Linked DNA regions of Canis lupus familiaris. The protein of the gene in region 2 interacts with the protein of the main gene of each other region in a pairwise test. Links are inferred from orthologs where the notes say so. Each region holds a gene or a part of one and is shown on either strand. Other genes may lie near its edges. The genes, in order: BCL2L12 and GSK3B.

The links.
Region 1: the proteins of GSK3B (region 2) and BCL2L12 interact in a two-hybrid assay, tested with the Homo sapiens proteins (2 studies listed by BioGRID and IntAct). The link is inferred for Canis lupus familiaris from reciprocal best matches to the Homo sapiens genes GSK3B and BCL2L12.

What each region holds. Positions count from the first base shown.
Region 1 is NC_049222.1:107,547,082-107,551,573, forward strand, and holds the start of BCL2L12 (bcl-2-like protein 12), read right to left. Parts: upstream 2,991-4,492; 5' UTR 2,977-2,990; coding exon 2,838-2,976; intron 2,202-2,837; coding exon 2,087-2,201; intron 1,877-2,086; coding exon 1,734-1,876; intron 447-1,733; coding exon 360-446; intron 265-359; coding exon 173-264; intron 1-172. Other genes in the region: IRF3 (interferon regulatory factor 3), read left to right, coding at 4,086-4,250.
Region 2 is NC_049254.1:24,131,028-24,134,838, forward strand, and holds part of GSK3B (glycogen synthase kinase-3 beta), read right to left. Parts: intron 2,806-3,811; coding exon 2,619-2,805; intron 1-2,618. UniProt on the Homo sapiens protein: Constitutively active protein kinase that acts as a negative regulator in the hormonal control of glucose homeostasis, Wnt signaling and regulation of transcription factors and microtubules, by phosphorylating and inactivating glycogen synthase (GYS1 or GYS2), EIF2B, CTNNB1/beta-catenin, APC, AXIN1, DPYSL2/CRMP2, JUN, NFATC1/NFATC, MAPT/TAU and MACF1.

The DNA.
Region 1 (4,492 bases), on a different chromosome or scaffold from region 2:
GTGCTGCAAGCAGAATGAGCTTGGAGCCCCTTACAGACCCTTCATAGAAGCCGAGTCCCACCGTCTCCTCACCTGACCATCTAATGAGAATGCAGACCTAGGTTCTGATCCCAGAGCTCAACCATCCCGCAATCCCTATCCCAGCTAAGGGATGGAACAGACTGCCTGGTACCTTCTGGTTGATGACTTCAGCCTCTTCCTCCAGCAAGGCAACCAGCTTCCGCAGTAGGGCTTCCTTCTCTGTGAGGGGGGGACCCTGTAACTCTGGGGGTTAGGGATGCAGGAGAGAATTCAGCTGGAGGCAGAACCCTGCCAACCCTTCCACCCTCACCCTTCTCCGGGGCCCCTCTGTATCTCACCTGGGCTAGGTGGGGATCTCAGCTGCTCTTGGACCAGTTGTTCCAGCCGCTGGGCCACCAGAGCATAGAAATCGGAAGTGGCTGGGCCTGGAGTGAAAAGAGCCAGTGATGGGTCTCTGGGACATCAGGAACCCATGGATTCTCTTCTTGTCCCAACCATCTTGCCAGGGAGCACTGATTTCCATTTCCTAATGGGGTAAACTGAGGCAGTGAGTGCACTTGCCAAAGGGCTTTGTACTTCCCATTTTATTGTGTTGCCCAAACTAGACTTAGAATGTTAGAGGTGAACTAGACCTTGAAAGAATATTCTAGGGCAGCCCCGGTGGCTCAGCAGTTTAGTGCTGCCTTCAGCCCAGGGTGTGATCCTGGAGACCCAGGATCAAGTCCCACGTCAGGCTCCCTGCATGGAGCCTGCTTCTCCGTCTGCCTGTGTCTCTCCCTCTCTCTGTGTGTATGACTCTCATGAATAAATAAATAAAATCTTAAAAAAAAAAAAAAAGAATATCCTATCCAAGAAAGGCAAACACAGGGCACCCCAGCTATTACCACGGTATCCCTTGCCGTTCTCAGGCCTCATCAATTGATCACAGATCTTTCCTCCCTGCTGTGAAATCCTTTTCTTTTCAAGCTAGCACTCCCAGTAGCCATTTCCTAGTCTATGGAGGCTTACATAGGAGTTTTTGGTTACTCTCAGTTCCTTTTGGTTACTCTTAATGGAATCCAACAACACCCCCTCCCACTCTCACATGCACACATAGGCACACATTGCTACTTTACTTCTGAGGAAGCATAGGAGCAAAAAAGAAATTGAATTTCCCTGAGTTGTGTAACCGAACAGCCAGGGATCCGTGACCGAAAACCAGGTCTCCTGCCTCCCTAGGATGATGGGGGGATACTAGTGGCAATAAAGTCCTAGAAGTAGGGAAGCATGCACAGGAGGAGAGATAAGCAGAAAAGGACAAAGCCCCCTGAAGCCAGCTCACAGAATTGAGAGACAGCAATAACTGGGGGTGGAGGTGGGGGATCAGAGAGTGGTGAGGGGAGTCCTCACCCTAGCTCCTGTCTTAGCTGAGTGATCTTGGACTAGCTCCTTCTCCTTTCTATGCTTTGAGAATCAAAGCTCCTGGGGACGTCTGGGTGGCTCAGTGGTTGAGCATCCGCCTTTGGCTCAGGCCTTGATCCTGGAGTTCCAGGATCGAGTCCTGCATTGGGCTCCCTGCAGGGAGCCTGCTTCTCCCTCTGCCTGTATCTCTGCCTCTCTCTGTGTGCCTCTCATGAATAAATAAATAAAATCTTAAAAAAAAAAAAAAAAAAAAAAAAAGGTTCAAAGTTTTGGCCCTGCCGGTGTCCAGGTGATCTAGGAAAATCTCTTACCAGGCTCTGAAACATAGCATGGGCGGAGGGGCAAGGAGCAAGGCCGAGGGGACACAGGGGGGTCTGCTCCTCGCCCCAGGGGACAGGGAAGACATCTTCGAAGACGGCTCAGGAAATCTGTTGGCTCCTCCTGGGCAGGACTCCTGGGGAAGGGGACCTCAGAGAATGACTGCAGAGGCCCCTTGCAAGCAGTCCCTTCTTCCTCCCACTGAGGGCCTGTCACTGCAACCCCAGGGACAAGGATAAAGGGCCAGATATAAAAGAGGGGAACGCAGACAGAGACCAGGTACAAAAGTTAGAGAGGGCCCCACCCCAAATGCAGGCCCCAGCGGAAAGAAGGCAGCTCCTCTTACCTGGGTGGGGTAGGGCTGGGGAACCCAGCAGCCTCACCTCGCCTAAAGAAGGCAGCTAGGACTCTCAGCGTGTCCTCCCGGAGCCCCAGCTCTTCTGAGCCTGCCATGGGGGCACCTGTGAAAAAGGGAGCTGGGGGATGGGCTCCAGGGTTGAACTGAAGTGGAGGATTGGTGCCCAAATGCCTAGTCCCTGAATAAGGAGGGCGCCAGGACCCACGAATTCCCGAAGGAAGAAGGGGGTGAGAGTCTCAACTCCTAAATCCTTTAGGGGAGTTAGGGTCTGGGGACCCAGACTCTTGAGTTCTCAGAGGGAGAAGAGCGATGAGGCCGAAGACTCCTTGATCCTTGGAGAGGAAGAGGCTTAGGGACCCGGGTTCCTGGGGTCAAAAGACTGGGGGCTGGACTCTGAAGATTTTTTGGAGAAGGGGGCTGGAGGATCTGAATTGTTGAGTCTGAGAAAGAACGGAACTTGGGGCAACGACTTCTGGTTTCTGGAGGCATAACGCCAAGCCGCTCATGCTCTTAGAGAATCAGGAACTACGAATCCCAGCAGGCTTCATGGCAAACCTTCCCCTCGGTCCGCACTTGTGCGCCGCGCAGCCTCCTTGGGAAGTGTAGTTCCATTATCTGACCCACGCTGGAATCTTGGGGACCCGGGGTGCATAGATGTCCAGGAAGCGGGACTGAGGTGCCCGCTCCTAGACCCGTCCTTTTCCCTTCTCGCCCCAGCCTGCACAAAAGCCCAGCTTACCTGGGGCCGGGAAGCCGCCGACCCCCTCTCCTTCACCGAACTTGAGCAAACTTTTATTAGTGCAACTTTCCCGCGCCTGCGCACTGGGCCGGGTTGGTGTCAGCCCCGTAGTGGGAGGGGCGGAGCGCTGGATACCCATCTGATTTGCATGTGGCGTTCCCAGCATGCCTTTGGCCGGAAGACCTATAAAGGGCATAGCGGGGGGGGAGGGGAGAACCGGGGGCGTCCGGGTTCTTGGTGCCGCCTCTTTGGCTCTGGAGTCTTGTCAACCAATCGCAGATAAAGTTGTTTTTGTTTTATGAAATCGATAGAAAAGAAAACCCTCTTTCTCTGAAGCTCAGCTGACGGGAAGTAGGGTGTGCAGCTGCAAGTTCGAGAGTTATCGGACCCCAAAGGCAGGGGCGGGTTCTAGCACCCTGAGCGCCCCGACCCTCTACGTAGGTAACTGGGAAGATCTGGGGAATTGGTGGCGCCCGGGGCGAGAAACGCGAGACGTGCTGGGTCTGCCCTGAGTCTAGAGGAGCAAGGTGTACTCTAGGGAAGGTGAAGCAGAGTTCGAGTAAAAGTGAAGCTATGGCCGCTGCCGGAGGTCGGCTGTGAAATAAAAAGTAGTAGCGGGGGCGGGGGGGAGGCGTCTGCATGGGGGGATCTAAGGCAGAGAAGAGCAGACTCTGAAAATGGGAGGCAGTCCACTCTATAGAGTATGTGTGGGGGGGGGGTGCCCTAGAGGAAGGAAGCTGTTTGGGGGGAAGGATGGTGGATGGAGGGTCCACCGTGGAAATGGGTGAGGGGCTCTTCTGTAGGAGTCCGCAACACAGATAAGTGCGGGAGGTAGAGATCTACAAGGTAATAACGTCTGCCCTGAAATAACCAGGGGAGTCTCTACCTTGGACGCGGAGGTGACTGCCTTAGGTGATGTGGGGGAGGGGAGGGGAGGAGAGGGTTTACAACGGAAGAGGGAAGAATCTACCCTGGCTGAGTTGGGGAGGTAGAGGATCTGCTCAGGAGGAGGTGGGGAAAGACGGGCCGTCTCAAATGGATTGGGCGGGAAGTCCTCGTTGACTTGGGGGACTGTCTGGAGGTGAAAAGAGGAGTTGTCTTGTTTTATACCCCAGGAAAATATAAGTGAGGGACGCTGCACCGCCGCCCCATGAGAGGAAGGTCTGGGAGCGGAACCCTCGGGGGTGGGGGCGGGTAGCTAAGAGGCCATCCGCGCCCACGAACTGCCCTCTAAGCGCAGGCCGGACCATGGGAACCCCAAAACCGCGGATCCTGCCCTGGCTGGTGTCACAGCTGGACCTAGGGCAGCTGGAGGGGGTGGCCTGGCTGGACGAGCGCCGCACGCGCTTTCGCATCCCTTGGAAGCATGGCTTGCGGCAGGATGCCCAGCAGGAGGACTTCGGCATCTTCCAGGTGCGAGAGCTTCGTGCCGCCGGGGAGCCCTGAGCTAACCTACCCGAGGGGTGGACTCCCAGGGGGCGGAGCCGAGAGGGAGGGGTTAGCCTGCGTAGGGTCGGCCGGCGCTGACGGTGGCAGGTGGAGGTGAGTGGAGTTAGGACAGGACTGGGCAGGGTTAGGAGGATCAGCGGACGGATGTCGCAAGGCGGGCACGGCTGGAACGGCCAGGTTCCGGAAAAAGAACCGGAAAAGCGGGG
Region 2 (3,811 bases):
ATCATAAATATGTTGTGTTTGAGGGTCTACCAAGTTGCTTATTTAACAAAAGGCTTCCTTGATTCATGTTTTGAGAAACAAAGTATTTATTGGAGAAGATACTTAGTGTAAATAAAACCACAATCAATGCTAGTTCAGGAAACTCAGGTTCACCTGATCAAAGTGGTGAATAGAAAAAGAAAAAGAAAAAAAGAAAAAGGAAAAGGAAAAAGAAAAAGAAAAAGGAGATAAATAATTTAACATTAACTTAGTAGTTTCTGATGCCAAGATTCCACAGTTACAAGTGTTGCATGTCACTGTATACATAGCCTTTTAGAGGCCACTTTAAAAAGCAACCTAGCAGATAGTTCTATGTGCAGATAATAAAGATACTTATAGTACAAAGAAAGACCCCAAACCAAACATTTATGAAAATGGATACTTGTAGAATTTCCAGTAGTGGCTTCATATAGATTCAAAAGGTGCTTCATATCAAAAAATTTAAAAATAGCTCTACTGATGAGAAAGAAACAGGTGTAAAAGATGCATATAAAAAGTATTAATAAAATTGTTTTATGAAATTTGAGGTTAAAAAGTTCCTGAATATTAATTTTATATAATGCATAATTTTATTTATTTTTTCATTATTTTAAATACATTTGAGTTAACCCAAGAAACCCTTTTGGGATCTTTTTTTTTTTTTTTCTTTTTCTTTTGGTATCTTCTTAATGGGAGAGTAGAGTATCACTTTATATTCATGGATTATCATAGTATATATTAAAGACTGAAAAGAGCTAGACTATAAAATATTACAGTGATTAATTCAAAAGCTAAAAGTGATCATTTGGGGATTGTGATTTTAATGTTCTCTATACTTCTTTTGCATCTTCAACATTTTCTTTAATATATATAGTGCTACTCTTAAGACAAAACAGTAAAAACTGAAAATAAAAAAAATTTTTTAATGACAGAGTCACAGAATCTGCTCTAGAAGAGTCTAACGTATTACCAAATTGGAGTAATCTTATCTATAACATTTGACATCATCCAGCTTTTTCCTAATACAGAGACTGGTATTTGGGGATGGTGGTAGGATGGAGTGGGGAACAACAAACAACAAAAACAAAACCACACACACAAAAAACAACAAATAAAAAGCACAACAAAGAAACCTGTTCCACTGTTAAATAAGTGAAAACTTTACTGATTCATCAATAATTTTATTTAGTCTCTATCTATGCCAGGGGCTGATATCATAAACTCAAATATGTACTATTCTCTAATTTTTTTGCTACTACTATTTTCAATTTTATAATCAGGAGAAAGAATACAGGTCTACATCTTTCTTCAGAAGATAATCTATGAGGTATTTTTACATCATTCTCAAAAGTTCCTTAAGTCTTCACTTTTCCAGGAAGTGGAATTCTGTTCCTTTACATACCCCACCTGCTATTTGATAACATCTTAAAATGGTATAGCTGGGACCTAAAACAACACTCCAGTGATTTCTGATCAGCCCTAAACAGTCAGAATTAATCCCAGGATATCTGAACATTTTTTCCTTTATGAATGTAGTTTCAGACTGTATCAGCACTACTAGTAGTTACACATTATTGACTGCTTAAGATTATAGTCAATGGAATCATCCAAGTCTATTTTGCCAGTAACTGAGGTCTTCCACATCTACTGCTTAAGCAATACATTTTCCCACTTTCAAATTTAGAAAAGTTTAAATATGGGGGGGGGGGGGAATTCATCTTAGAATAAAGGAAATATAATTATTTCCTGGTCACAGAGAGCTTTCCATCTCCCTTCTATATTTTAAGCTTGACTAAGCTGACCAATCAATCAATTGACCACTTCTTGCTTGTTTTATCTATAGGAAATTGTACACTTTTAATGTGCAGTTTATGAAGAAAATCACAGCATCGAAGGCAGTGTAGTTGATTAAATGAATTACTTAGGGTCTTAATCTGAAAGGAAAGAAAAGTGAACACAGAAGTAATTAAGAAACAATGATTCTTCCTGGGTCTTTTAGAAAGCACCAGTACACAAACTCTGTTTTTTCCTCTCAGTATTTTCTCAGAAGCAGCCATGGTGCCAAGCTCCACAAGGGAAGAGAATTTCTCTATCTACATCTCTTATACAAGTTCTAAGAAAGACAGTTATATAGAATTCCATTGTTTCCTTCTGTTTATAAGTAAGATATCTGACTTTATACAAATACAGTCACCACCAATTTCACCAATTGATTTCCAGGTTTAAAAAACTTAATATAAACACTTGGAAAAAAATAAACACTTGGGAAGTAAGAAATGCTAAAATTCTAGTCTCAAATACAAACTTGAGGGTTAACTTAATAGTGAAATCTCTATAACTTCTCATGTGCCAAGATTTATTATAATCTGCCAAAAATGAGAGAAGCTATGTCTACTGGAAAAAATTTTATCTGCCACTATTTTGTTTAAAACCATACAAGTAGTAGCCTAATCAGTTGTTGGAAGGGATGTTTGCTACCTGTATAAGTACTTAATATGCCCACTTTCGTCCTACAGATTTTAATTAAAAGAATATAACCTCACACAGATAGGTAGCTTTCTCAGAAATGGTAAAAAACAGAACTAAGTATCTGGAATTACCTTGAGTGGTGAAGTTGAAGAGTGCAGGTGTGTCTCGCCCATTTGGTAGTTTGACATTTGGGTCCCTTAATTCATCAAAAAATGAATGTGCACAAGCTTCCAGTGGTGTCAATCGGGCAGTTGGTGTATACTCCAGCAGACGGCTACACAGTGCAATTGCCTCCGGTGGAGTCCGGGGTCGGAAGACCTGCAGTACAAAAAAAGGTAAAGAACAATTAATGCTTTATTGTAAGAATCTTAGCAAATTATCCTTTGAGTACTGAGTTAATTCCCACCACGTACAACAACATGGTTGCATTTGTGAGAGGAACCTTCTAGAATGAAAAGAGTTAACTGCATATGATTCACTACATTGAGGTGAACAGCTAATTACAAACTATATGAGGAAAACTCAGAGAAAAAACTAGGGGAAATTAAAAAAAATCTACACTTGCTAATCATAAAGCAGTACAATGAAATATGTACACAAAATAGGATATCATAGGCACAAAGAAAGGCTGGGTTCTGGAGGCAAGCACCAACTAGAAGAATATTAAAATTTTCTAAAAGTTTTGACTACTGTGGCAGTAGAATAAAAGATTGCCTCTTGTGTGTGATTTTTAGCAGAACAACTGTCAGTAATGGACAGCACTACTCAAATTTGGCAATCAATATTTTTTTGGGGAAAAAAGCTATTTACTTTAGCTTTAGCAATGCTAATGATCTGCTATTATCTCTTCAATAAACAGTCTTATTTGAAGAAATTCTTGAATACCCAGAATTTGACAAAATGTCCAAAACTGTTTTCTCAAAGAGTAGCTGTTATTACAAATATGGTCAGATTACCCTCATTTGGATGAATATTCTAGGGTTTTAATTAGGGAGAGAGAAATGTACTTTTCATTAAGAGCCATTAACTCTAGAAAAAGTCAACTGAAGGCTGTGCTGAAGCAAAATTCAAATAAATTAGTTTGCTTAAAAGAATAGAAAGCTTTCTACACATCTTTACCTTAAAACTCCAAATCAATACACAGAACTATGAAAATAGCTTTGCTCTAAATTATAGACAGTTGAAGAATAGAATCAGAAAGGGGAAAAACAAATAAACATAAACAGATGGACAGAAAGCCTTTGAAACTAAAGAAAAATGAAACATATTCCTTGATAGGTGGAACACAGACCAAATAGAAGGTGTGGTAGTGGCAGTGGACAGA